Astyanax mexicanus: one gene and its partner. The protein of the gene in region 1 binds, or shares a complex with, the protein of each later gene. Links are inferred from orthologs where the notes say so. Each region holds a gene or a part of one and is shown in the gene's direction. Other genes may lie near its edges. The genes, in order: kras and mapkap1.

Region 1 (10,303 bases):
AGCAAGTGCAGCGTCCCCAACAAACCTCCTGTCTGACAGGAGAGGGGAAGGAAAACAGTTCTCCTCACACATCCCTGTAAAAACAATAGCCTGAGGGGTTTTGGGTTTCAGGGAGAGAAAGCTAAGTTAGAGCAGTACGAGGCACGTTCAGTGTGAAATCTGAAAATCTAGTGCATAAAAAAACGCCCAATGGAGCAGGACATTAAGGCCAAAGGCCAAAATAAAGCATGGAGAAAGCCAGCAACACTTCTTATTTGTCCTGCCAGAGAATACACTGCTTTGAAAATGAAGAACTTAGTATCACTGATAGCATCACAAAACATTATGACATTAGATTTTAATTTTAGGTCAAATGAATATAAATATTTTAAGTATGGAAATGTAAAGCTTGTAACTGTGTGATGGTGATTCAGTGCTGACTTTATGCATTAGAAAATCTGACCACTATCAGATGAAATAATTTTTTACAAATACAAATGAAACACAACCCCTCCCCCTATATCTTGCAAAAGCCATTTTAAACAGAAGTCTTTTCCAGGCAAGGCCAGCTCACCTTCTGTGGTATTAAACCGCAGAGCTCTGCCTTGGCTCTTGTAAACCTTTTTCAGAGTTTCTGGAATCCCGTCTTGGCTAGGATGTTTTAATAAACTCAAGAATAGCCTCCCCCCCAAGTTAGGAGGTCAGAACTGGCAGACCAGCTAACATCTGGATGGCACGTTTAGCTGGATATAATGCCGCCTTTGTTCATTTGCCATGATAGTGAATGGCAGGCAAGTTTTAAAGCACCAGCCTTCTGGAGAAACAGTGCTGTTGGATGAAGCGTTAAGGTGCTAGGTTTGTCCATATGGTTAATATTTATATTCTCTGATCTCATCTCTCTAAGCAGTAACTCATAAAACTCATATGTTTTTGAGAGCACCTCAGAATTCTCAAAAAATAACAGGACTGACTAGATATCAGAGCCAGACACAGCCTAGCAATCAGAGAACTGAGCGATATAACTAAAAATAAGAAATGGTGATAGGCGATATGATACATGATGAATATTATAACAGAATATAATAGTAAATTGTCAGCATTGGTTTTTTTTTTACACCAAAAACACATTGTAGATATTAACAGTGAAGAACCTAACGGTGTATCTAAGAAATATATATAAATTTAGTTTTAAATATAACACAACTGCACTCTTTGTGGTATGTCAGACTGCACAAACAGCACTAAATTATGTTGTCTGATATAGTAAAAAATAAAGTCATCATGCTGTTCCTTAAATCACAATGTTTTACGACATAATTTGCACAAGACTGTACTATGTTAAATGTAATTCCTTCAGAACCCTAACCACTGGCATCCCAACAACCAAAGTATGAGTTAAATTGCAAAAATATGGTACCCTGTGCAGCAGGCGTAATAATAAAATATGGCCATTTTTATATCTGGTGTATTGTAACATATAGTAATATATCTTGTATAAAACTGTAACATATTGCACACCTAATCAGTCAACAATCATGAACTCATGTTAAAAACTAATGTTCTCTAACAAGTAAACAATTAAAAGATTCAAGAGCAAAAAAATACAATACAATCCTCCCTGTTGTCTCACTCCTTATGTCACTCTTTATAACACTGTTTCACTCTTATGTCATTCCTTTTATCATGCACCTTTAATTACACATTATGTCACTACTTGTTCTCACCCTTTTTGCCCCCCTTATATCGTACTCCATGGGTCACTCCTCTCTCTCATTCCTTGGGGCAGCCCTTGTACCTCAATCCTTTAGTTACACCCCTTATGCAATTTCTTTGTCTCACTGCTTGTAGCACTATTTTCATCACATCTTTTCACTCCCTTCAGCAATTTCTTTATTGGACTCCTCGCCACTCTCATTGCTTGTACTGCACTCCATTTGTCACACTCATTATGATACTATTTTCACTAATTATATTACCTTTTTACTTACTTTGGCACATCCTGTATCTCATTCAGTGGCACTTCTTTTATCACTCCATATGTAACTCCTTATATTACTGTTCTTGTACTGCACTCCTTATGTTATTTTTCTTTAGGGCACACCTCACACCTTTTTTGTAACCCTACACGGGTCTCCCCTTTTTCTTTCAGACCTTAGGGGACAATCCTTACACCTCACTTATTTTGTCACAACCCTTGTGCCAGCATTTGTTTTTATTTCACTACGTATATCCCTTTCCTTTATGTGAATCAAATTTGCTCTTTTTTCTCACTCTACTTATATCACTCATTTTATCTCACTCCATGGGTCACACCTTTTCCCTTGTATCCTAGGGCATCCCTTACATACTCTCTACTTATGCCAAATATTTTTTATTTTGGGGCTGTTTTTTTTTTAAAAGAGAGTGATCCTTGATTATGATTTTAGTTCTTACATGACATCAAATGGAAACAGACAGCACAATTTAAAGTGATGTGCAAGCTATTGTTTTCTTTACCTTTGATTTAGCTTTGATCCTAAATGAGGTGCCACAAGAGTTCTTTACAGGTTTCTGAAGGAAGATAATGTTTATCTACTGAGATTTCCTCTATATATAAAGATGTGCAATCTTGATTATCCAATTTTGAAAAAAAGTTGCATTTAATCAGTAAATAACCTCCCAGCCCTATTATATCCCATGCAGTTTTTTTTTTGCGTTTTTTCCCCCTTAAACATCTCACTTCTTTATAATATCTCACTATTTTATATATCACTCCTAATGTCATTTCTTTCTTTAAGCTATATTTTCTGACTCCTTGTGTCACTCCTTCTTTTCTTATTAGTTAACTAAGCTATGTCACTCCCCTGTTCTCATCTTGTAGGTCACTCCTTTCGTTCAACAGTAAAACATGAAGCTGTTTAGTGAGGGTAAATTCAGACTGTCAACTGTTTTTTTCCATACTGAAGTCAATAAATGAGCACTAAACTAAACTAGTGAATCAGTGAGGTCAGTTAAACTACACTGACTTCAGATTATACAGTGTGAAACAGTGAGGCGGGTAAACTTTAGAAACTGGTAAGATTTAGACTCAGTATAAATCCAGTGATGTTGTTTTTAAAACGGTTCAGTAAGTTTGTTTTCGATTCTTCTCGTTTTTTTCGTGTTTTGTCCAGGTTAAAACTGGTAATAGCTGTGAGAGACACAAGACGGGGTAGTGTATTCTTACCTTAATACTGTAAACACGCAGCTCTGCTCCTCCTCAGACTGCTCGGACTGTCCGCTGGCGACCTCCTCTGAAGTTTTCTCCTGGAGAAAGCGCGCTGTTCATTCTACAGAGCACAGCTCTCTCTCTCTCTGTCTATCCGGAGCGGGATATCCGTCTGAACTGCTCTACAGCAGCAGCAGGAGGAGAAAAGCTGGGAGTGTTTCCTGCAGCAGAGGAGCGGCTGGAGTGAGAGTGGAGTGCGGAGCGCTGCAGTCAGATAGTCTCTCTCTCTTTCTGTCCCGCAGGGGGGGAAGTTTTCACTGCGAGCAGCTCAGAGAGGCAGCGAGAGGGGAAAACACCCCCACAGCCCCTCAGCACGGGAATGGACACAGCGCAAAGCATGCTGGACTCTTTTAAAGACACACTCGAGAGTCAGAGACCCAGCACAGAAAAATCTCTGCCCCTTAAAACTACATCTTTAACGCTGCTGTGGGTGTACTGATTTATCATTTACAGCCATGGGCCATGCTGGAAAAAATAATGTGTGTGTGTGTGTGTTTAAATTAGGAAATGCAGCTAGCTATGTAAGTTTTAAGTCTCACAGGCTGTTTGTTACGTGAGAGCATGAAGCCCCCACTGCAGCCCACTCTCTGTTTACGAATAAGATTGCACAACCTTATCCAGATCTTCCCACTCCAACAACAGGACATATCAGATGCTAAAGTCAGTTTTGTTACTAGTTTATGTTTTTTTTTTTTAATATTTGGACCTTAAACACATTCACTCAAATAAAAAAAACTAAAATAATATCACAATAATTAGCTAGTTATTTTTACGCGTTGCATTTCGAGTGTTTAATAGTGAACTATACAGGGAAGAAAATTGTTAACTGTAATATTTTAAACAGCACACCCTATAGCGCACAATTTCTGTAATAGGGTGCACATTTTTAAACACAGCTTAGGTCTTTTGGTTAGTGTGCATTTTGGTGAGAAATCACACCACCCAAATTGCTGCAAAACTTAGTATGCAGTCAGGTCTCAGGCACATACTAATTTTCACTTCTTTATTATTAGGTTGTAATCCAATCCAATACCTGGCTTGGCTAATCAGTACATATGCAAAATTTTGTTACCCCTGGGCAAAATATTGGTTACTGAAGCTAAAAGAGTAAATGACCTCATTTTCAAAAGGCAGAAAGATAAATCTGAAACATTAATTTGTCTTCAAGGTTACATTTTAGTTAAAATTTAAAAAAAAATGAGTTATTTTTTGTTTTTACTTTAAATTGTACATAGTAGACAAATTTTGATTAAAATAATCTTTAAATTTTGTCAACTTTTTGCTTTCACCTTACAGTTCTTCTGCTTTTGTTTTCTCAGCATATCTCATATCTATTTCTTTTCTGGTTTTAACCATTTTTCCTTAATTTACATCTGGCAGCTTTTTTTTTTATATATATTTATATACTTATAGAATTTTTCCAAAATGACAAATCCTATATAAAACCTCTGTACATTGACAGTTACGATTTTTTTTTTTTCATTTTACTGTAAAGCTGCCTTTATTAAAGATGCTTTTTTGCATGACAACACCTATTTACTGTTAACTTTCCGATGAATAATACGTTATATTTAAAATGAAGATATATTCGATTATGCTTTAACTAGATTTACGTGAATGCTTATACTGACACCCTGTGCCTCATACAGGAACTGCTATGGGTGCTTAAAATAATAATAATAATAATAATAATAATAATAATAATAATAATAATAATAATAATAATAATAATAATAATAATAATAATAATATTTTTGTTTTATATTTTGTTATTTAAAATAGTTAAAATGGATCAACGCGGATGGTGAATATTTATATTTTATGCCCGAGGAGAGACTACCAGCTACACATGGTCTATTACATAAAGAAACTTCAACGGAGTAAACAATAAGAGTATTTCCAGAAGCTTCTCTCAGTGTTCAGTCCTAAGGAGCAGCACGGATTCCTCAGACTGACTAGAGACATCCCCGTCAGCCCAGTTGTTTTTCAGGCAGCTGGAAATAGCTCATCCACTAATTTTGAAAAAATGTAAGCATCATCTGTCCGACTAATAAACATGTGGGAGGGGCAGGTTTCGGCCCAGTGCGTTTTTTTTGTGAAAACGAATGTAGTACACGATTGAATATATATTCAATCTATATTCAATATATATAAGTGCATGCATATAATAGTGTACCCAAGACAGAAATAATAATATTGCTAGAATGATAATATAGTTACACAAATATTTAATATTTTAAAAAAGAATATACACACACGCTTTAACAGATTTAATAGAGTGTAGTTTGTTTGTTGTTGTTTCGAAGATGAATTTATAGTTTAATATAATGTTCCATCTGTTTTACAAAGGCAACAAAACTATTTCACCTGAAATGATATTTTATCTAAAAAAAAAACTTGACAAGTATGTTTATATTTATATTATTCACTAAAATGCTAAAAATCTACTAATTAATATATGCTCCCAAAATAAAAAAAAAACACTACTTTACCAGTTCTATGAGTGATATAATGAACCTGCCAAAATTGTTTAACACTTTAACAATGCCAAATTACTAACTATTAAGCTGGATATATTTGATGTATTCATTTATATGGCACATCTTAAATTTTATTAGTAATCAGATATATTTAAGAAACCACATGAGGCAGAGTAACAACACTATTTTAGAACAACCCAGTTGCGGTACACGCATTGGTCCCACGGCCTCGTGATCGATAGCGCGTTCAGCCAATCAGATTCATGCATGGGGGCTGACGTCTGTCCAAGACGTCCCCGGTTATATTTAGGGCCTATTTAAGCTCGGCTACACTCAGCGTCCCGCTGCTTACAATGGTGCTTGTCAAAAGCCGGTTACAACACTGTGCTGACTTTTCGCTTTGCTTCGTTTGGTTAGGCTGCACCGACAAGCCTGCAGTGATTTAAAGGGGGTTGTCTGTAAAAGCTCTGAAAAGCTATTTTTAAAAGTTAGTATGAACCGATGACGCCCTGTCGAGCTGCATTGTTCTGCATCGCCTGTTATTGAAGGGATATCGATCTGGTCACAGTGTGCCCTTAAGGCAGCAGCAGCGTGCAGAATGAAAGATGCAAGCTGAGGCTTGGAATTAGTAGTAGTAGCAGGTCGAGAGGGCTGCGCAGCTCATGTACACGTTTTAGGCTTGTCGTCCAGCCTTTAGGAAGTACCGAAACGAGCCAGGAAAGCCCGCCCGTGCTGTGGTGCACTGCTCCCTGGGTAAGTGATCTTAGCGCTGGGCTGCGCTCAGCCACACCGTATCCGCCCATATTTTGTGTGTGAAGCTCAGTCGAGAGCAGGGAGCGAGCGAGCGAGCGAACAGGCCGAGGAATAAAACACCACAGTCCCCGCTGCGGAAAATAGGCTCGGGTAGGCGGTTAGTGAGCTAGTCAGCTTCACAGGCGCAGCATCGAGATAAACTAGCTAGCTAGTTAACTACCTAACCTCGAAGCAATGACCGGCTCGGGTCTGAGGAGCGGACTGTAGGCTGTGGGCTCGAACGCTGGGCTAATATTATTCGTGGACGCGGAACTCGGCTAAGCTAAAACACTGAAGGTAGGTACTAGCTACAGAAACGCTAAACAAAAAACAGTAACGGCTAATTACAGTGTGCACGACCGAACTCGAGCCTGTTGTGTTTAGTGCTGTAAATGCTAACTCTCAAGCTATTGTTTTTGGTAAACTAGCTAAGCTAGCTCAGCTGTTGAGGCTGTAGGTTAGCTTAGCCACCTAGCTAGTTAACTAGCCAAGCTGGCTAGCTGGTTAGCTTAGCTACCGTCCATAGCTACCCGAGAACGCCCCAGTCAGTCAGTCAGGCCCTGTTTGACCAGTGTACCGTTTATCGGGCCTATTTTCGGACAGTTTGAGGCTAAATTCTTAAATAAAAAAATATAAGTGAATTGGCAGTACGTCAAGTTTTTTCTATTTCTGTATCATCTTAAAAAATGCATTTTCACCTTGTTGGCTTTTAAATTGAAAATGGTGTAATCCAAACTGATTGTTACAATATGCAGATTGTGAGAAGCAAAAAAAAAAAGCTTTACTATACTAAATGAATAAAATGAAATAATGAGGTTTTACTCTCAATTTCAGATTTCAAATTAAGCCTCGAATAGTCAAAAAATGGATACACTTATAAACTCTTAGTTAAACGTAACACACAAACCTTATTTCTTAATAGATCCTCTAAGTTATTCCTAACAAAGTCAAAGATATGCACTTTTTTACTTAAGTTTTACCTTTGTCATATTTTCCCTTTCTGTTTAGTGGAGCTAAAAGGTTTATACGTTTATTTGTTACATTTGATTTAACAGAGTTTTGGAATGAGGGAAAGATTATGCTTATTAGTTTCTCAGCCTTTAAAAATTGTGTTCCTAATAATAATTCAGTGTTTTCCTTTTGTCTCAAATCTAATTGGAGACAGTCGAATGATTCTTTAGAACTCTTGGTGATTTTAGGAAAGTTCTTCATTCACAAATGTTGCGCGATTAAACGTAAAGGCCCAGATTAAAGCTGTAGTTACTTTCAATGTTCTGAGATTGTATCTGCCAGAGACTTAATTTAACTTTATTTATTAATGAATTGATTTTTCTGTTTTTCCATTGCTGTTTGTGTTCTTTTACTGCGTCTAATGCTTTAGAATGGACTTAACGTGATATCCGTATGCCTTTCTTGAAAACAAAATTTGTTCTTGCTTTAGGAACATTGCCATGCATCTGTATGATGGATGATGGTGAAACAACCAAAAGCTTCTGACTAGCTAGATAAAGAACCCTTAACATACCCCTTGTTTTCTTTTTCTTTGTTTTTGACAGTTGTTTTCTATTGTCTTCTGAAAGTGGCCACAAAAGTGGTTGGTGGTGTGTTGGGTTTATGTTCTTCTCTGGTTAGCCATCTTTGTTTGTAGGACTTTGCTGGTTTTTAAGTGTTGCTTAAAATCGTAGCCATTGTCATTCAAGAGTTAAAAACGAAGGCCTGGTCTCCAAATGATGACCTGTGTGCATTGTAGTCTGATCACAACAGACACTGTCTATTTCCCATAATCTTGTGTGGAAGTGTGGAATTATTTAATGGATGATTGACAAACATGATGACTCTCCAGATACAGATAGGATTAGGCCTGTGTTTGAGACAGTTTAAACCAGTCAGTGCTGCTTTCTCTTTTTAAGAGTCCAGTGGAAAATCATATTGATATAGTATTAGTTTTAACCTGTACGTAAAAATATAGAACTTTCGATAAAGGCGTACATTATTCTTAAACCAAGGTTCTTGGCTCAGTCTGGATTGAAGGAATGGCTCACCCAAGTGTCAAATTTACACTTTTACCCTTAAGTGTAGTCAATCAGCTGTGACTTGTTTGGTGTGTACAGTAAGCCTTTTCTATTAATGTATACATCAAATTGTGCACTAAAATTAGCAACTACATTTTTCTGCCACCCATAAGTCCAGACTGATTAATTACATTTGGAGTAAAGGTCAAATGGTATAAATATTTTTTTTTCTTTTTTGCTGGTGACTCCCAAATGTGCTGTAGACAGTGTGGTGTGACTAGTTTTTTTAGTCCAGACCTCTGTTTGCGTTGGTGTGACTCACACACAGTAAAAAATCACCTGTGTGGGAACTACTCGATGATTTAAGCCGTCCTTTCTCGACTGAAATTCAAGTACTGTAATTATGATTGCTGAAGTCATTGGACACCTTTCAGTGAGCGTTGTGCTGTGGTAAACTGTGCATGTGATTCAGCACAGCTCAGCATTTTAAGTTTATAATGGAAAGGAAAGACATAATGTAGTGAAGAAGTTACAAAAGCTGGTCTGTTTTCAGAGGCTCCTGAAGGTAGCTCACTGTAAACACTTAAATTGAACATAAGTACCAGTTTAAAAAATTAAGAAATTGGTAACCATGTAATGTGGGGTCTAAAGCATTGCTTTTTGGTGGTAAATCTGAATGTTACTGACTATAGTTTTTGTGTACTTTGTTCATTTCAGGTGAAGAATGACTGAGTATAAATTGGTGGTGGTGGGTGCTGGAGGTGTGGGCAAGAGCGCTCTTACCATCCAGCTCATCCAGAACCACTTTGTGGATGAATACGACCCAACTATAGAGGTAAATTGTGGTTAATTATGTAGTATACATTAAAAGTCATACCTTTCACAACCTTATATTGTCAAGATATATTTGTATAATGTAGGAAGATGATATTTATATTCTGCTGTAGGTCAGTACTCATTTTAATGGTCATTGCGTTGCTTGTGTGTAGATGTCATAGTTTATTACTTACATACTAGTCTAAATAGGAATTACAGAGCTTTGTGATATACTTTGTGGTTGTTGCTCGCTGAGATTCTGTGTTACCACTGTTCCCACCTCCAAATGCCATCATCCTACCCCAAAGAGAAAACAACTTAATAGAAAACATAATGGTGGTGTAAAAACTGAGCTGGTTTTTCTAGTTTCAGCCACCACTGGTTCCTTACTTCCTGGTCTAAGTATGCAGTAGCACGTGTCTGAGTAATTGATGTATTTTTTTAAGCACTAAGAAATAACCTGTTGCTCTCAGAGCACAAGTGTAATCTATTAATCTGTGCTTACACCTACTGGGAGATAATGTTTCACTGCGCCCTCGCCGTATTTTAGTGAGTATTCTATCAATGTTATTCATCGAAATTAATCTATTTAAGCTATGATGTTGCTGTGTTGGGATACTGTTGTGAAATGCTGTATACAGTCTTATAGGCTTCCTCAATTAGTGCGGGCAGTATCTAATGGTCTGGGATGTTGAGATTGACAGTATTTGAGGATGCAGCCTGTTAGACATGTCAATTTTCTATGCATTTATGAGCAAGTTATGCCTCTTAAGTTATTCCTATTATTAGTATAAGATTAAGTATAAAGGTTTTTTATATGCATTCTAGTTTATATTACAGTACAGTACAGTGCAGTGCATTGCATTTAGAGGACATAGAAGAAAAACATTTTAGAAGGGCAAAGGGTAATGGTGGGATGGAGAAGAAAAAAGGGGGATTATTTTATTGGGATTCATATTTAGCAGTTTTTGTAATAC
Region 2 (10,676 bases), on another chromosome or scaffold:
GATTGTTATTTCGGCCATTTCTCATTTTCTGCAAATAACTGCTCTAAATGGTAATATTTTTGTTTGGAATTTGGGAGAAATGTTACCTCAACATATATTTGGTAAACGCTACAGAAAGGTATATTGAGCATAATAAACTAGAATAAAAATACTTATATTGAGCATAATAAACTTTAATAAAAAGCCTAATATTGAGCATAATAAACTAGAATAAATAGACTACTATTGAGCGTAATAAACTAACTTTGCTTGCGCTTCGTCCAGGCTCTGGTCGGTGATGGCCATGATCTGGTGGAGGATGTCTCCGATGTCCTGTTTCCGCGCGTCCTCCTCCGCGCTCTCGTGCTCGAGCGAAGGCGCGAGCGCCATGCCGCCGTGCAGCGCGCGGCTCAGGGTCACGCCGCCGAGAGACTGCATGATGTGGGACTGCTCGTCCATGCTGTCCATGATGCCGCAGCACAATCAATGCGCGCGCGCTCTTCACGTGCACCCCGGAGCGTGGCTGGTGGACGGGTCAGGCGGGCAGCATCGGTGCACGATAACTGTCCGATAATGACGTGGGCGTCCCGTGCGTAAACGATTCTCCAAAGCTCTTTTCTTCTTTTCTATCCAATGGGTAGCGCGTGGAGAAGGACAGAGAACCATGCAGCAATAATAATCAGGTAGCTTTAGATAGTTCTGTAAGATTCTAAACTTTGCCCCAGGTTTAATTAGGCTGCTTGGTGAAGAATGTATCCTTTTGTTCGGTCAGTTCGCCTCAAACACTCCCTCCACGGAACTCAAGCAAAGAAATCCATCTTCAGATACATCTCCGAGAAGACCAGCATCCCAAAAACAAATATTTCCATTCCCTCTTTCCAGCTCAAGCGCAACAGAACGGATGAAATGGGTGGAATAAATGGAATGATCATGAAAAGCAGGCTCTTCTACTCTTCTTCCCACTGGATTCTCTCTTTCCATTAACAGGAAATAAAGCTGGTCTCATCCTCCGTGTATATCTGGAGATATGAAGCTGTATGAGCTCGCTGGGTGAAGACCCCAGTCTCACTGTTGCTCGATCTGCGCGGGCTGCTCTCTCTGTGTTAGATGGTTGATGGACGTAGAAGGCTCCGCCCCCTTGTGGTTGAATACATATAAGAGTTCGTCTACCCATTCCAGCAATCCAGCTCCTAAACCCAACACTACAGCATTTCAACAAACCACAAATACTGACCAACAAAACACCAATTCAATGATTAAATGAATGTACAGAACCTAGAAGTTCTACATTCATAGAACCAAGATTATCCAAACTATGAAGAAAAACTTATGAAATTACACCCTCTGGCCAAAAAAAGACTCCACCTGGATTTAAATAAGTAAATAATGTGGGGTTGATGCTGCAGTTGGTCAGGTCTAGATTCAACAACAGTATGTGCTGAAAGAATGAGGTCAGCTGACTACCTGAATAATTATACTGAATATAGACCAGGTTATTCCATCAATGGATTTTTTTCTTCCCTGATGGGACGGGCATATTCCAAGATAACAATGTCAAGATTCATGGGGCTGGAATTGTGAAAGAGTGGTTCAGGGAGTATGAGATCATCATTTTCACACATGGATTGAGAGTTCACCACAGAGTCCAGATCTTAACCTCATTGAGAATCTTTGGGATGTGCTGGAGAAGACTTTGTGCAGTGGTCAGACTCTACCATCATCAATGCTGATTTATTTTAAAAGTATAGGCACCTCCTGCATAGATGACAGTTTTGCACATCTTGGGTGGATTTTCTCAGTCAGTTTTATGAGGTAGAGTCACCTGAAATTCAGGCTTTCAGTTAACAGCTGTGCTGAACCTTTCAGGAGTTAATTATTAGAATTTCTTGTCCTCTTAAAGTGTTTGAGAGCATCAGTTGTAAAGTTGTGAAGAGGTAGAGTTGGTATGCAGTATTTGATTAATGTTTTAATCCATATTATATCAAGAAAAAACTAAAGTATCCTCTAGTGCAGTCACAAAGATCATCAAAAATGTTATGATGAAACTGGCTCTAATCAGGACTGCCACAGGAAAGGAAGAGCAAGAGTTATCTCTGTGGCACAGGATAAGTTCATCAGAGTTACCAGCCTTAGCAACCACAAGTTAACAGCACCCCAGATAAGAACTGTAAATGTGAACCTCCTGGCTTAACAATGCCTAATCCCATGATTGAGTACGTGGTTAGAAGGGTATAAAGCCCTCAAGCATTGAATGATGGTGCTCCATCCAAAACATCTGGGATAATTTTGGGGAGTTGAAGATGAGTTGGAATCAGGTTGAGATCATCCAAGGTACTGACCTCACTAAAGCTCTAGTCACTGAATTCAACAAAATCATCACAGCAATATTAAAAAATATATATATAATAGAAATCCTTCCCTGGACAGTAGAGAGTAGAGGCAATCCAACAAAAGCATGAAAAAACTCTTTTTATAAACTTACGATTTCAGAACAAACAATCAATTAGCAAGTGCCAAATTTCATAGGACTAGTTCTGTACCTCTTTACTTTAGCCATGTCCTATGGAAGCTAAAGAACACTGCACTGACCTGAAGCATATACAGCTCTGGAAAACATAGAGAGACTGCTTCAGTTTCGGAATCAGTTTCTCTGATTTTGCTACTTATAATTATATGTTTGAGTAAAATGAACATTGTTGTTTTATTCTATAAACTACGAACAACATTTCTCCCAAATTCCAAGTAAAAATATTGTAATTTGGAGCATGTATATGCAGAAAATTTGAAATGGCTGAAATAACAAAAAAGATGCAGTGCTTTCAGACCTAAATTCAAAATAATGCAAAGAAAATAAGTTCATATTCATAAAGTTCTAAGATTTCAGAAATCAATAATTGGTGGAATAACCCTGGATTTTAATCACAGTTTTAATGCATCTTGGCATTTTCTCCTCCACCAGTTTTACACACTGCTTTTGGATAATTTTATGCCACTTCTGTTGCAAAAATTCAAGCAGTTCACATTGGTTTATATTTTGATTATATTCCTGAGGTTTTTAAATGTGGTAAAATAGAAGAAACTCATCATTTTTAAGTGGGCTCTTATTTTTTACCATTCTAGCCAGACTTCGCTGGTCCCTTGTTACACATGTGACCATATACCATATTTGCAATATAAAATATTGCACTACTGTTATATACTATTTATACTGTCATTCCATCTCAATCACCACCAATATTGCACTATTGTCTTCCGTCTTCCGTATGTTTATTGTGTCTTGTTGTATTGTACATATAATGTCTCTTTTATATTATATATCTATTTCTTTTTTTTACTTATATTTATATATCTATTTCTCCCCCACACCACTGCACCTTGTTTTTGTCTCATGTATGTATATTTGTGTCCCTGCTGTATTGTACCCATAGTGTCTCCCATTCTCTTTTATTATATCTATTATCTGTACTTGCTGTAAAATTGGGAAGGAGAGTAACATCATTTCAATTCTTTGTATGTAGTGTACATATGCAGTATTGACAATAAAACTACTTGACTTGACTTGACACTGATTTCTTGTTTAAAAAATCAAAAACAGCAAACAGGTTGCTATTTCATAATGGTGTTTAAAATGAATATTGAATAAACAATGTTACACTGACCTATCCATCCTCCCACAAGCACACTGGTCAGTGTTCAACCTCACTTACAAGATGAGACCTCACAACTTATACAAATATATATACATTATGCCCATCACATGATTTTTGGCATGCCAGTTTATACAGGACCCTGCTCTATTTCCGTTATACAGGAATACATCTAATAGTTTTATTTGTCTGAGTCGGAGTGAGATCAGTTGGAAATATCTGAGACAAGTTTGTGATCAAAGTGAAAAACAGGCTGTTTCTCAAGAGCCGACCAGAAAAAGAAATTGTCCCCCACTGATTTAAAACAGGAGTTAACAAAATCTGGGAGGAGTAAATCAGATTAAGAGGAGCTCCTCATTTGGAACCATTCTTTCCTCTGGGAATATTTACTGTGTTAAACGGTGTAAATGAGATCTGCAGAAGCCGGCTCAGATAAAGCTGAACTCAGCTGGAGTTCACAGTGGAGAGATCTAACAGCATTAAGATATCATAAATGTACTCACCACTGTGTCACACCAGTGTAGTGTTGAGAGTGTGTATAGAGTGATATTGTCCTCTGAGCAGCTCCTGAGCAGGGTAATATATTTTATACTCACTGCCAGGAAACATCTGATCAGTACAGGTCTGAGAAGATCACACAAGAAACAAACCTAAGGATGCAATTTATTGTAGTTCTACACTTGAATGATTGTACCTCCAATTCTATATTTTACAGGATTATTTTAGACATTTGACACAATACTTGGGTATTTGTTTTATTAGAAACATTTATTCAAATAAATATCCAAGAGAAAACAATACCTCATCCTAATTACTCTTTACACCTGAGAGACAAAATTAGATTTTCCTCTTTTTCTCGTGTTATTGAGTTAAGTTTCCAAGCATTTAATCATATTGTTTCTACTTAAAAAAACACAAAGAACATCAGATCATTGCAAAATGACATTGTTCATAAAAAAAGCTATTTATCCTGGTGTAATATTAATCTACAATTCATCAGTCACAAAATAAATAATAAATAAATGTCCACGATTTCTGACTTTCACTGAATGATAGTGTGGCTCCACAATATATTTTTTAATTGCAGAACGTATTGCTTCTGACTTTTCCACCCCTGCCACCAAACACAGCCCTCTCGAAACCTATTCCACCTGTTCCACCCTCACAATAACTGCCTTCACAAGTTTTTGATGAACTGAATGAGGACTGTTAGGTTTGGACTGGACATAAAGCATGGTGATGGTAGTTCCTCTGCGGGTGAATTGGTGATATAGAAAACTATGATGTAACACACAGTAGTGAGAAGCCCTCAAAAAGCACATATCTAATCAGAAATATGTCTAAAAGCCCACAGTTTATGATCAGACCAGAACATAGCAGACTTAGCTAAAGAAGTTTATTAAAATAGAGTTAAATAATTATTTTTCTGTGAATATATTTTATTTTTTTATGCATATAACACTATTCAGGCTTTTTGTTCGGATTAGAAATAACATATTTGATATATTAATACAGATCTGTCAAACAGTCAAACAGACAATCTGTAAAATAAACCTGACCCATCACAAATGTCACTTGTAATCCAGACACATGAGCCTGTGCAAGGCGCTGTAGTAGCTTAAAGCAACAGCACCCTCTGCTGTCCATTCAGCGGCTCTACAGATGAGGCGAGTTCAAAAGTAACCATGGGAAGTAAAAAAAAAAATTATATGCTTTCACATAATATCTTTCAATTCATGTAATATCTGTTTTTGAAGTCAATTGTAAGATTTGCCAGGACTAACCATGATTTTCAAACTCAGTTTTTGAGTTTTTAACATCCAAATAATAATTATGGAACATTACATGGAACATTATTCCTGCCTTGTATTTAGCCTGTTTTGTGGTCTAAACAGTTTATATGTGTATATTTTCTGTTATTATTTAAATATTAGGGAATAATAAAACAAAAATAGCTAAATAAATGCAATGACTTATTTCAGCCATCATAGGAAATCTTGACTGTGAAACAAAATTGTATGCACATATGCAAAACTATCAAAATAAAGTGAATAATTTAAGTTAATAAATGTAAAAATATGATTGTTTACTTCAAATGATTTAAATTATTTTAAAAGAGATTTAATTTAGGTTTTAATGGGGATTTAATGGGTGCCATTTGTTTAATAACTGTAGGTGGAGAACATGCAAGGATGCAAAAAACTGTGATTAAAAACCAGGGTTATTCTACCAAATATTGATTTCTGAATTTCTGAAAATTTTATGAATATGAACTTGTTTTCTTTGCATTATTTGAGGTCTGAAAGCTCTGCATCTTTTTTGTTATTACAGCCATTTCTAATTTTCTGCAAATGCTCTAAATGACAATATTTTTATTTGGAATTTGGGAGAAATGTTGTCTGTAGTTTATAGAATAAAGCAACAACGTTCATTTTACTCAAACATTTACCTATAAATAGCAAAATCAGAGAAACATATTCAGAAACTGACGTGGTCTCTTATTTTCCAAGAGCTGCATACATTTTAGACAGCTATCAGTGTTGAGAGAGTAGTGTTGAGTAGCTACCAGTTAAAACTTTGGACACTGAATATGTTTTTTTAATTTCTTTATTTCATGTATTTTCTACATTGTATATTAATATTAAAGAAATGAAAAAGGTGTTTGTCCTCCACAGTCTCTGGACCTAAACATAACTGAGATGGGTGATTTATGATGAGCTGGACATTGGAATGAGCATAAAATGAAAGAAAACATCAAATGAGAAGTGGAGCCCACGTGCAGCACTGTTACATCACTATCAGCAGCAGTGCAGTGCAGCAAGCTTACTGTACACTTCAGTAGTGTGTAGTGAAGTAGCTACAGTACAGTACAGTACAGTAGGGTGGGCTTTTCTCGTGCTCCCCAGAGGGCGTTCCTGCGCGTCTCGTTGATGCATTACACTTCCTGTACGAGGGTAAACTTGACGGAAATAGCTAGCCCCTACCATTAGCTGTGATAACAACAGAGGAAATGCTGTATTATTACTGAGAGTATATGATACACATGAGAGGCGATGGGACGAGGCGTTTAGCAGCTATGGCTGTACTCCTGCTGTTACAGAGTGTGGATATATTCAGCAGTCGGTCTGGGAATGCATGAAGGTAATCTACGTTAGCTAACATTGGTTTGTTTAGCTAGCTAACTGGCTAGCTAGCTAGGCTTGGTCAGTAGACAAGTAGCTAGCTAGATAGGCTTGCCAAATAGCGTTAGACCAAGCCCTGTTATCTAGAAGCTAGCTAGCAATCCTAGCTAGCTAGTGGCTGTGTTTTAAGCTGTAACTAGGCAGCCATAGCTAACATTTGTTTACCAAAAAATGTCAGCAATTTTAGTAGCTAGCTAGCTAGCTAGATTAGCTAATCTAGTGGCTTTGTGTGAGCGTGTTCCTCTTCTAAATATGGGTAAATAAGCTAACTAATCCAGGTCCACAGAGTAACGTTAAGTTAAGTTACATGGGTTACCTACGCTACAAAAACATCCCAGGACTTTGTTAATAGATACCCTTACCTACCTTTTGGTTAGTTAACTACAACTTACTGGGCGGTTCTGCTGGAGGCTTGGTGTAAATAACCTAGCTAGCTAGCAGCTGTTATTTAACGTGATTAGCAGGGTTAAGTTAGTTAACCCTAACCATGTAACTAATGTGTTGTGTAGCTAACATATATGTTTATCTGTAGTTATATGCAGTTAGCTAGCTAGTTAACCTTTACCCCAAAAGAAACTTAGCTGCCAAATCCATGTCAAAAGTAGCTAAAACTCCTGTAAGCTATAACAGCTAGGTTACCAGCTGCCTCAACTGTACACAGTCATCCAGGCAGTTGGTATCTAGCTAGCAATGCTGGGTCAGTACACAAGTTAATATAGCTACCGTTAGCTAGCTAGTTTGCTAAATAGCATAAGACCAAGCCCTGTTAACTTAAAACTAGCATTAGCTAACCTAGCTAGGTTAGCTAGTAGCTGTGTTTTAAGCCGTAACTAGGCAGCCATAGCTAACATTTGTTTACAAAAAAAGATGAACTAGCTAACTAGCTCATCTAGTGGCTTGGCTTGGTGTAGGCTTGATGTAGATAAAATAGCGTTGTTTGCTAGCAGTTGTTATTTAACGCTAGCGTGGGTTAACTTAGTTAACCCTATCTTTCTAACCAGTGTGTTGTTTAGCTGTATATCTAGTTATCTAGCTAGTTAACCTTAAGTTTTGAGTGAAGTAGCTAAAACTCCTTCCCAGGATTTTGTAAGCTAACTAGCTAGGTTACCAGCTGCCTCAACTATACACAGAGTTATTCAGGCAGTTAGTAGTTAGTTAAGTTAGATAGTTAGTTATCTAGGTACAAAACCCTTTGTTTGCTTTCTACTTCCTCGGCCTGGTCTTCTAAACACCCCGATAAGCTAGCTAACTAACTCTAGCTAACCACCCAGCGCTAGCACAGTCTCACATCTTGCTATTTGTCCCAAAGCTAGCTAACTTACCCGCATTAGCTCGCTACATTTGTTTGTGTGCATGTTGGACCTGTAGGTTAAAAAAGTTGAGGGGACGTTCAGCTGGGAAACTGGACAAACGTGTAGATCAAACGTTAACACACACCAACTGATGAGTTCAGTTAGCTACATTCAGTTTCACATTCAGCTGTTTGCCTAGTAGCTAGTTAGCAAAGCTAGCTAGCCAGCCTGCTGTTTTAGCTTTCTAATCTTAGCAGTATTAGGAACAAGGCTAAAAAAACTGTTAATAAAGACAATAACGTTAAATGTAATAAAAATACAAAATAAAGATAGCCAGCTAACCACTGGGCTCTTAGTTAAAGCAAGCCTGTGAACTTGCATATGTATTTTAAGCTAACAGCTGCTAGCTAGGCTAGCTAACGCTTGTTGTCATGTTGTCTCTGGGCGTGAGCTGTTGTAAGAGTGCATCATCTGTTGTGTGCACATTTTCCAAGTTTTAGTTAAACAAGTTTTAATAATTAATTAATATTTGTTTGCTTTCAAAACTGAATTATTGGGTTATGAATGTTTATAATAATTATATTAATATATATTGACTCCAAAATATGCTCTTATTCTGGCTTGCTAGTTCTGGATGATATTTTGCCTCAGAAATTTGGGCTGTGTCTATCAGTTTTTAAGTTATGCTTGAAGTGTGCATTTGTTTTTTGGCAGTGATGTAAAAGTACTGTAATGCTGCTTTATTTTTTGTAGTTCAACAAGTGCCAGTTACCTGCATTGTATTCTATTCTATTTTGAGTGCTTTGCATTGTTTATAACAAACTATGGTTGTGATTCAGTGCTAGAAGTGTTGGATTTCTGTTTTTAGCATCTGAAAACCAGAAGTTGACTTGACCTTTAAGGTTATCTGATCTGACCTTTCACAACCTTTGTAAAAAGTGTGGAGTAATACAATGGAATGTTCATAAGCCTTAGCTCCCCAAATCGCTTGGCTAAAGTTTTTCTAAAGTATTATAATGACAACTCTTGTGTCATGTATTCTTGAAGAAGAACAAACTTGGCATCACTTGAGCATTAAGATAATGATCCTTTGACATTTTGAACACAGATCATAATAGAATATGACAAGCTTCTTTGTTAATAATGCACATTTAATAATGGCTAGGGGTAAGTGTCTACCAATAGGTATGATGCCCATCTTCATACTTTTTTTTTTCTTTTTTTTTTTATAAAGCAGCTAGTGTCGGATGACCCGAACTAAAATTGGGCATTTATAATAAGTATGAACATTTCATAAAATTAAATGTTGAATATTTTTCTTTTTCGCAGGCAGGCACACATGCTCCACCACAGAGAGCAACAATCAAACCCAAAAGGAAGAGGGTGTCACTGTTGAAGAAGGAGCAGCCTCAGATCTCAGTTAAGTGCCAGAGAATCCCCCACGTGAACAGGAGCGCGTGAGGAGTGGAGGGTGGCAGCAGGAGTTGCCACACAGGATGGCTTTCCTTGACAACCCCACCATCATACTGGCCCACATCCGGCAATCCCATGTAACCAGTGATGACTCGGGCATGTGTGAGATGGTGCTGATTGATCATGACGTGGACTTAGAGAAGTGCCATTCGGCTGCCGTGTCTACTGGCAGTGTATCAATGGGGGGGGTGTTAGGGGATGGGAGTGTTAGTGGAGACGGTCAGGCCTGTGACCTCTCTCAATCGATGGACATCACGTCCAGCTGGGACTTTGGAATCCGTCGGCGCTCCAACACAGGTAAGCGGCTGTGTAGATAGTCAGAGTGTGCTGGGTCCTGAATCTAGGGCATTGGCATATGGGTAACATTGGGGAAACATTGTTGGTGTGCTTTGATACAAGTTGATGCTGGTTAAAGGGAATTGAGGATAATAGGTAAAATACATTAATGAAATCTCTTGCAAATTAGTGTCATAATGTTGGCATTTATTTTTGTTGTAAACTGAGTAATCATGCTCCTCCCTCCGGATAATGATGGTTTATTTCCTTGCAATCAATAATTAATCTCAAGTTGATTTGGGTGTGGGTTAATGCTGGTTTTGTGTGTATGTTGAATAGCTTGGTGTGACTAAATAAGAAATAAACTTGCTCAGATTGACTTACTGCTATGAATCAGTCTATGTGGATGGCATGATTAAGCCTAATATCCTGCTAAATCATAATAAAACTTTTGCCTCTGTCTCAGAGATGCACTGATACAAATAGTTTTTTCTTTTTTTTGTGCATTGTGCATTACTGAGAACCAAACTTTAAAGCACCAACAGAGAGAATAAAGCTTCGGTTGTTTCCACTCTGGCCTTAGACCATATCTGGCATATACAATCTGATTATTTGATCTCACTGCTTGTCCAAGAATACATGTGTAAAGTGTGTCCTTTAAGACAGGCTCAGAGAGCTAATTACACTTGCTGTTTGTGGGGGAGTCCTAGAAAAAAGTAATAGTAAATTCTCCATAATGCCGCCATTTGAAATAGCCTCAACATTTCTTGAATTAAGGCCAAATAAATTGTATATCTCATATATCAATGCTGATGTATAAACATTTC

Evidence for each region.
Region 2: the proteins of kras (region 1) and mapkap1 are in contact, whole or in part, in a crystal structure (PDB 7LC1), measured with the Homo sapiens proteins. The link is inferred for Astyanax mexicanus from reciprocal best matches to the Homo sapiens genes KRAS and MAPKAP1. Residues at the interface, in NP_001356715.1 of Homo sapiens: Ile21, His27, Val29, Glu31, Asp33, Pro34, Ile36, Glu37, Asp38, Ser39, Tyr40, Arg41, Leu56, Glu62, Glu63, Tyr64, Ser65, Ala66, Met67, Asp69, Gln70; in NP_001006618.1 of Homo sapiens: Phe280, His287, Gly288, Phe289, Ser290, Leu291, Ile292, Gln293, Lys307, Lys310, Arg311, Arg312, Lys313, Gly314, Ser315, Phe363, Glu365, Ile369, Val374, Met377, Leu378, Ser380, His381, Tyr484, Glu487, Ser488.

What each region holds. Positions count from the first base shown.
Region 1 is NC_064409.1:62,222,400-62,232,702, forward strand, and holds the start of kras (GTPase KRas), read left to right. Parts: upstream 1-6,034; 5' UTR 6,035-6,459; intron 6,460-6,465; exon of another isoform or gene 6,466-6,795; intron 6,796-9,227; 5' UTR 9,228-9,234; coding exon 9,235-9,345; intron 9,346-10,303. UniProt on the Homo sapiens protein: Ras proteins bind GDP/GTP and possess intrinsic GTPase activity. Plays an important role in the regulation of cell proliferation.
Region 2 is NC_064408.1:21,739,254-21,749,929, reverse strand, and holds the start of mapkap1 (target of rapamycin complex 2 subunit MAPKAP1), read left to right. Parts: upstream 1-6,434; 5' UTR 6,435-6,767; intron 6,768-9,429; 5' UTR 9,430-9,596; coding exon 9,597-9,870; intron 9,871-10,676. Other genes in the region: pbx3a (pre-B-cell leukemia transcription factor 3), read right to left, coding at 245-447. UniProt on the Homo sapiens protein: Component of the mechanistic target of rapamycin complex 2 (mTORC2), which transduces signals from growth factors to pathways involved in proliferation, cytoskeletal organization, lipogenesis and anabolic output.